Saccharomyces cerevisiae S288C: one gene and its partner. Changing the gene in region 1 together with any one later gene gives a genetic interaction. Each region holds a gene or a part of one and is shown on either strand. Other genes may lie near its edges.

The links. Genes that interact genetically often act in the same process or in processes that back each other up.
Region 2: mutations in POL32 (region 1) and ARP6 together harm fitness more than expected from each alone (negative genetic interaction), as found in Saccharomyces cerevisiae (5 studies listed by BioGRID, with this or other methods).

The regions. Positions count from the first base shown.
Region 1 is NC_001142.9:515,961-519,540, reverse strand, and holds POL32 (DNA polymerase delta subunit POL32), read left to right. Parts: upstream 1-2,027; coding exon 2,028-3,080; downstream 3,081-3,580. Other genes in the region: VPS55 (Vps55p), read left to right, coding at 356-778; NUP85 (Nup85p), read right to left, coding at 3,252-3,580. UniProt on the Saccharomyces cerevisiae protein: DNA polymerase delta (DNA polymerase III) participates in chromosomal DNA replication.
Region 2 is NC_001144.5:298,985-304,370, reverse strand, and holds ARP6 (Arp6p), read left to right. Parts: upstream 1-2,381; coding exon 2,382-3,698; downstream 3,699-5,386. Other genes in the region: condensin subunit SMC4, read right to left, coding at 1-2,128; RAX2 (Rax2p), read left to right, coding at 4,120-5,386. UniProt on the Saccharomyces cerevisiae protein: Component of the SWR1 complex which mediates the ATP-dependent exchange of histone H2A for the H2A variant HZT1 leading to transcriptional regulation of selected genes by chromatin remodeling. Involved in chromosome stability.

The DNA of each region.
Region 1 (3,580 bases):
TTTTTAAGAACATTTATATACATAATATACACGCCCCAAACATATATCGTTTATATAAGTACTGTTTCCTCGCATTAAGCGGGAAAGCCATGTATCTCTTGTAATTAGTTTGATCCTGTTCTATACCCAAATGTACTCCTCAAAATTATTACATTTTATTATGCCTTTTTCTTAGATGGGCTTTCACTCCACTTTACGAAAAACTGAGAAAAAAAGAGTAGGAGAAAAACTAGAAAAGGGGAATCACACACACACACACACACACACACACACACACACACACACGTCTAATATCGGCGCATATTTATCAAATCTAAAAGGCAAAGAATCTTAATACATAAAATCCCAGACGGTTATGATGGAATTCAAAGTGTCACCATTGACAAAGATTATTTCTCTGTCAGGATTCCTCGCATTGGGATTCCTTTTGGTCATACTAAGCTGCGCATTATTCCATAATTACTACCCACTATTCGATATTTTGATCTTTTTGCTTGCCCCAATACCAAACACAATTTTCAATGCAGGAAATAAATATCACACATCTGACTTCATGTCCGATTCATCAAACACTGGCCAAGATCTGGCTCACTTCCTTACAGGAATGCTGGTGACAAGCGGTATAGCACTCCCTGTTGTTTTCTATCATTGCCAATTGATTGGCCATTTGAGTTGTATCATGTGCATGATCGGTGGTCTTATCATATATTCTAGTATTGTTATTTTTAAATGGTTTTTCAAAAAAGATTTCAACGAAGATGATTCCCTTTTTGGTTAATATATAACAATTACTCATCCCCTCAACAGACTAAGCCAACTGGGTGCGTGAACCGTACATTGATATTATATAGTATGATACTCTACTCAAGGTGGGAAATCTGGCGTCGATTTCTCCTTTTTTTTAGAACTACTTAAATATAATAGATTACATAAAATTACTTTCTGTCTTTCTTCCATTTCAAGTTTTCAAACAAAAAATGCCAAGAAATTCGTGTCTTTAGCCTCTAGTTGACAGAATAATGTAGATAGGCAAAGTTGGCTGAATACATCCGTAATTTCGGGATAAGGATTGGCATTGAATCGCCACATGTCTATAATCTTATTTGAATCGATCTATGAGCGGAAACGTTGAGCAATGGTCGTACAACCATTCTGTGCCGCAATATACCTCATGAAAAGAGATGGGATTGCAAACCTTGAGAAATTAGTCTCTAGTAGGATAATGTATTGTACATTTGTTTGATTCCGCAGTTTTTATAGTGGCTTGAGATTTGTATTTCAACTAGATATGTTGAAAATATCCTCGTAGCGAATGTGGACATAGTGATAACAACAATGTCTTTGTCTTCTACACAAAGGTAAAGGTGTATAAAGCTTTACACACAATAAAGACGACACATAACAAATTATGCAACTGCGCTGCTATTGTAGGATAGCGTCCGATATTATCAATTCTTGCTTTTCAGCTTCTATTATATCTGATGACTAGTTCTCAATCTTTACGTCATCTTCCTATGGCATATTTTGTAATGTGCTAGTGACATGAATACTACTATGGATTATAGTAGGATTTCATTCTAACACAGCTCAGTGTGCAAGTTGTTTTTAATTTTACAATATGAATCTTTATTAAGTCTAAAATATTCATAAAAGTTAAGCGCCGTGGCGCAGTGGAAGCGCGCAGGGCTCATAACCCTGATGTCCTCGGATCGAAACCGAGCGGCGCTAAGCTTAATTTTTATATTTTTATCGTTTCACCTTATGAAAATTCTCGATCAGTATGCCTCAATATAGAACACTTCATTAATGGAAGTACCTTAATAAGGTTATACTAACGAATAGGTCTATTTTCCACTACGGTGTAACTTTCCGACGGAAGTAGTAAACGCGTATGAGTTAAACACGCGAAACTCTTAATTTTGAAAAGTACGCAGAAGTTCGTTACATCGCAATCAGATCAGCTCGAAATAATATTTCACATTAACTAACAACCAGAAATAGGCTTTAGTTAACTCAATCGGTAATTAATGGATCAAAAGGCGTCATATTTTATCAATGAGAAGCTCTTCACTGAGGTAAAGCCCGTCCTTTTTACGGATCTAATTCACCACTTGAAGATCGGCCCATCCATGGCCAAGAAATTAATGTTTGACTATTACAAACAGACCACCAATGCCAAATACAACTGCGTAGTGATATGCTGCTACAAAGATCAAACTATTAAAATTATTCATGATCTTTCCAACATTCCACAGCAAGATTCAATAATTGATTGTTTCATCTATGCCTTCAATCCCATGGACAGCTTCATACCATATTACGACATTATCGATCAAAAGGATTGTTTAACCATTAAAAATTCATACGAACTTAAAGTTTCTGAATCATCGAAAATTATAGAGAGGACTAAGACGTTAGAAGAGAAATCTAAACCTTTGGTAAGGCCTACAGCAAGATCAAAGACCACGCCAGAAGAAACAACCGGAAGGAAATCCAAATCTAAAGACATGGGTCTCAGGTCTACTGCACTGCTGGCTAAGATGAAAAAGGATAGAGATGACAAGGAAACCTCTAGACAAAATGAGTTACGTAAAAGGAAAGAGGAGAACTTGCAAAAAATAAATAAACAGAACCCTGAAAGAGAAGCTCAAATGAAAGAGTTAAATAATCTTTTTGTCGAAGATGACTTAGATACAGAGGAAGTAAATGGAGGGTCCAAGCCCAACTCACCTAAAGAAACTGACAGCAACGATAAGGACAAAAACAACGATGATTTAGAAGACTTGTTGGAAACGACAGCAGAAGATTCACTTATGGATGTACCTAAAATACAGCAAACAAAGCCTTCTGAAACAGAACATTCAAAGGAACCTAAATCTGAAGAAGAGCCCTCCTCTTTTATTGATGAGGATGGATATATTGTGACAAAGAGACCCGCAACTTCAACACCACCACGCAAGCCATCACCCGTGGTAAAAAGGGCATTGTCGTCTTCAAAAAAGCAAGAAACGCCGTCATCGAATAAAAGGTTAAAAAAGCAAGGAACATTGGAAAGCTTTTTCAAAAGAAAGGCAAAATAATCTTCTTTTTTTTCCAAACACTTTCCATTACTAATTGTGATGTAATGTATAATACAAATGTCAACTTACGTGATAGAAAAATAGATCAATATAAATATATATTGTTGTTTAAATTTACTTATTTTCGTCATATATCCTAATATACCATCCGAAGGACATTACTATACTGATTTACATGAACGCTTGACATAATTTGAAATTTAGTTTCTTTCTTAAATTTTTCAAAAGTGTTGCCATGCTACTAGGTAAGCTTTTATCTGCTTCAATAATGGTTTCATATAAGTTTGAACTTTTTTCATCAGCGTCATCCCATTTAGTTTCTATAACTTCAATGACTGTCGCCACTGAATCTTCATCCATTAGCTTCTTATCATCTAAAAGGAAAATTGGGTACAGGAATTTCGCCACAAGCAAAACCAAGTAATGTTTTGGTAAATAAGGGAATTCAATCAGCAAAAGCAATAGGCGCAGCGCTTGGCCCCAATCTTCTCTGTCCCTCA
Region 2 (5,386 bases), on another chromosome or scaffold:
AAGCAGTAGAAATAGCAACGTCAAAACTATCGTCGATAACGCCCAAATCGCCCAAACGTCCATGGAAACCATTTATACGTCCTGACTTTTGCAGTCTCGATAAAGCTGTTAAAACCTTACTTTTATTCTGAGCTTTTGATAAAGAGGATCTAGCTTCCATTGCACGCTGGCGATGCGCGTTCAAAACCTTTTGCATTTCTTTTAACTTTAGATGAGCAGAAGTAAAATTCTTTTCACCTTGCGACCTTTCATCTTTAAGTGAGTTCAGCTTCTTTTTCAGATCGAGGATAAGATCTTGTAGCTCCTGCTTGTGTGTTTTCTTGGCAAGAATTTTTTCTTCTAAAGTTTCAACGTTTTTTTTCAGTTTAGCTTGAGTTTCCTCCAACAAAGATAGTTCGGATTCAGCCAATTGTATCTGTGATTCTTTTTCCTGAAGTTGGAGGTCCCAAGGCTCCAGTTCCTTTTCATGCCGAATAATCTCTGCAGATATATTCTTCGTTTTATCTTTCAAAGATAGTTTAATATCATCAAGTATACTTCGTTCCTTTTCCAGCAATTGAGTCAAGTCTTTGATCTCCGTCTCGTGTTCGGTTTGTTGTCCACGAAGCTCTTCAAGCATATTCTCGGCCTCCGATATTGAATGTTTGGTGGATTTCAAAGTCTTTTCTGCTTTTTCCATTTTACTTACCAAATTTTTTGTTCTCTCTTCTAGAGACACCCTGGTGCCTTCTAATTCTCTTCTTTCTAAAACCAGGGTCTTTTCTTTCGAGCTACAAGATGATATTCGATCTTTTATTTCCTTACGTTGTGCTTTAATCTCATCCACTTTTTTCAAAGATTCTTGAAATTTCATCTTCTCATCTTCGAGGTCTTTATTCGAAGAGGAGATCTTTTCCAAGGTGCTGGCAAGTTTAGAGTTGCTTTGCAACAATTTAAATTGAAATAATTTTGATCTTAAAAGCGTCAGCTGCTTTTCCTTCTCTAAAAACTCTAACGCCGTTTCTTTCCCTGACTCTAAAGAGTTTTTTTCTCTATCAACAATTTCAAATCTATTTTCCTTTTCCAGGCAAACTTCATTTAGATTCTCAATCTGTCCCATTCGCTCTTCAATTAACGGCTTATAGTTTGCAGTTCCAATTATGTCCTCCAGATATTCCAGTAGTCCGTCGTCACTCTCTTTTTCTGCTTTAGGCTTCATTTGAGCAATATTCTCTACTTCACCTTGTAGAATTAAAAATCGTTTATGGTCTAAATCAATACCCTCATTCTTTAAAAGCTTTGTCACCTCTGTGTAGCTACTTTCTTTTTCGTTTATGTAATATTTCGATGAGTTGTTTTTAAAGGCTTTCCTTGTAATGATCAATCCAGGTTTTTCTTCATCGATTCGGGAAGTACCCGAAGATTCATCAATAACGTACTGAAAATGTACAGCTACGGAACATGATTGCAAACTTGGGAAAGCTTCTGATTTATGAATTAAATCCGACAATCTGTCCTGTCTCATCTTGTTCGCTCTAAATCCAAATACAAATAACATGGAATCGATGACATTTGATTTACCTGAACCATTGGGGCCTACCACGGCCGAGAAGCTAGTATGAAAGGGTCCTACTACTTGTTTACCAGCGTAGGACTTGAAGTTCTCTAAGACTAGTTCGTTAATAAATAGTCTGCTCTGTTGCTTGCTCGACGACTGGTGCCTATCATAAATTTTTTGTAGTTCAACCCTGCTATTTTTCACTGGCGAAAGCTGGAGCAATTCTAATCTTCTAGTTGGCGATCTTCCTGGAGACCTTGGTGGTGATTGAGAGTAGGACTTATGGTCGCGACCCCTAGAAGAGGTTTTTGGTGGTTGCAAGTTCGGTACATGTAATGACGTGGTTGTTGAGTTTGTAGGTTGAGAAAAGGCATACCGATTTTCCCCAGAACTTAAAACAAGCTTTCTGGGAGTATAAGATTTGGAATAAGATGCTTCCAACGCAGGAAGATCCGGCTCTGGTGTATTCTCGCTTAGGTTAACTCGGTTTTCTACCTGCGAATCTTCTTCGGCATCACCTTGATCAAGAGATAATTCTGGTTCTTGGGCGGACTTCCGCTTTTGTCTTTTGCTCAATGGACTATCAGACATCAAATATATTCTGTTGGTTGCACGTGGTTAGTGTTTAAGGTGATGCGGCTTCTTATAGGGCCTCTTTTATGGTATGAAATCGATTCCAGTGTGTAGATAATGTAAACCTATATGTATTTTCGTGATTATTGTAAACAGTTTACTTTCCGTCCATAATTACAAATGCATTTCAAAATGGGCCAAGAAGAACAAGAGAATTAATGCAAGACCAAAGGAGAAGAAGCGCAGAATCGTGGACAAGATAATTTAAACTATGGAAACACCACCCATTGTGATTGATAATGGCTCATACGAAATCAAGTTTGGTCCTTCCACGAATAAGAAACCGTTCCGAGCTTTAAATGCATTGGCCAAAGATAAATTTGGGACATCGTATTTATCAAATCATATCAAAAACATCAAAGATATTTCATCTATCACCTTCAGGAGGCCACATGAACTAGGACAGCTCACATTATGGGAATTAGAGAGTTGTATATGGGATTATTGCCTTTTCAATCCTTCAGAGTTTGATGGGTTTGATCTGAAAGAGGGAAAGGGTCATCATTTGGTTGCTAGCGAGAGCTGTATGACTTTACCAGAATTAAGTAAGCATGCCGACCAGGTGATATTTGAAGAATATGAATTCGACAGTCTTTTCAAGTCTCCTGTAGCAGTCTTTGTACCATTTACCAAGTCATATAAGGGTGAAATGAGAACAATTTCAGGTAAGGACGAAGATATCGATATTGTCCGTGGCAACTCAGACAGTACAAATTCCACATCAAGCGAGTCCAAGAATGCGCAGGATTCAGGTAGCGATTATCATGATTTCCAATTAGTTATTGATTCCGGGTTTAATTGTACTTGGATAATTCCTGTCCTGAAGGGAATACCGTACTATAAAGCGGTAAAAAAATTGGACATTGGAGGCCGTTTCCTAACTGGGCTACTAAAGGAAACTCTATCATTCAGACACTACAATATGATGGATGAAACCATACTTGTTAACAATATCAAGGAACAATGCTTGTTCGTTAGCCCGGTGTCTTATTTTGATAGTTTCAAAACGAAGGATAAGCATGCACTAGAATATGTACTTCCTGACTTCCAAACAAGCTTTCTTGGTTACGTAAGAAACCCCAGAAAAGAAAATGTACCGTTACCTGAAGATGCGCAGATCATAACACTGACAGATGAGCTTTTCACAATACCAGAAACTTTTTTCCATCCAGAAATTTCGCAAATTACTAAACCAGGCATTGTGGAGGCCATCCTAGAGAGCCTTTCCATGTTGCCCGAAATAGTGCGACCTCTTATGGTAGGAAACATTGTATGTACAGGAGGAAACTTTAATCTGCCCAATTTCGCCCAACGGCTTGCGGCAGAACTACAAAGGCAATTACCCACAGATTGGACTTGTCATGTTTCGGTGCCCGAAGGTGACTGTGCTCTGTTTGGGTGGGAAGTGATGTCACAGTTTGCAAAGACAGATTCCTACCGAAAAGCGAGGGTCACAAGAGAAGAATACTATGAGCATGGTCCCGATTGGTGTACGAAGCACAGGTTTGGTTACCAGAATTGGATATAATTAACTATAGATTTACATAGCAACAATGAAAATCCGAAAAGTCGAGACCTTCAGGTCATTTTCAATTTGGATTTTGTCATGTTTTTAAGAATCTTCCGCAGGCAATAATACATCTCATATGTTTTACATTTTTATTGACAAATTCCCAAATTAGGCAAAAATTCCTCTTTTTTAGTGGTTAGAAACGCCATTCTTCCCATTTTTTCGCGATACAAAAAAAGAAATATATGGAAATGTGGAAATGTCATCATCAGAAGTCTCGAAGGAAAGTGTGCGCTTTAATCATCCCCATACTAGACTTTGTAGGAGAAGATAATACAATTTTCGTTTTATATTTATACAGTTGATTGACCGGGAAACGAAGAAACGCAAGAGAAAACGATCAAAATACACCTGTTCTTCGTTACGATATAGAAATTAAATGTTTGTTCATCGTCTCTGGACACTCGCATTTCCTTTTCTTGTGGAGATATCGAAGGCATCACAGTTGGAGAATATTAAATCTCTTCTGGACATCGAAGATAATGTGCTACCGAATTTGAATATATCGCAAAATAATAGCAACGCAGTACAAATCCTCGGGGGTGTGGACGCCTTATCTTTTTACGAGTACACAGGCCAACAAAATTTCACTAAAGAAATAGGTCCAGAAACAAGCTCACATGGATTAGTTTATTACTCTAACAACACCTATATCCAGTTGGAAGATGCCTCTGATGATACTCGAATAGACAAAATTACACCATTTGGCGTTGATTCGTTTATTCTTAGCGGATCAGGCACGATAAACAATATCTCTGTCGGAAACCAGATATTATACAATTTGTCGACACTGTCTATGACGCCTATATTCAACCAGTCTTTGGGAGCTGTTCAGGCTGTGCTCGCAGACAATTCTTCTATCTATTTTGGAGGAAACTTTTCATATAATAATGGCTCCATGACGGGCTATAGTGCTCTCATTTGGGACTCCATATCAAATACCACCCAACTTTTACCTTTTGGAGGGTTTGGTGAAAACTCCAGTGTGAATTCCATAGTCAAGCTAAATAATGACAACATTTTATTTGCAGGCCAGTTTTATACACTGGATGATCCTTCTGCGCTTATCAGTAGTTCAAATAACGGTACGAACTCAACTTCCTCTTTAAACGCTACTACATTGGAGCTAGGCCAACGAATTCCACTGAGGTACGCTTCCTGGGATTCCCAGGGAAGTACAACGTTTGCATCTGATTCGTTAGTTTGTCCTAACACTAATGAGGATGCATGGCTTTATCCGGATACGTCTGGGTCTCTAGTTTGTAATTTACCATATGAAGTTTCACCAACAAAAATAAGGCTTTATAATTCCCAACGTTCCGATAGTGAAATCTCCGTGTTCCAAATTCTGACTGATCCATCCAGTAGCATAATGAATTTAACGTATCTGGACCCACTAAGTGGGGAGTTGAAGAATTGCGGTGAATTTTGCCCTTTGTATAGCCGAGCCACTTTATTATCAGCAAGCCAAAATGTATCTTCATCCATGGACATGATTACCTTCATCGATAACAACAAGACAGACGTAAAATGGACGTCAGATTTCCAAGACTTTGCGTTTGTGAATGAACTTCCCGTTTCATCGTTAAAATTTGTAGCATTAAATTCATACGGTGGTAGTGTTGGATTATCCGGTTTGGAGCTCT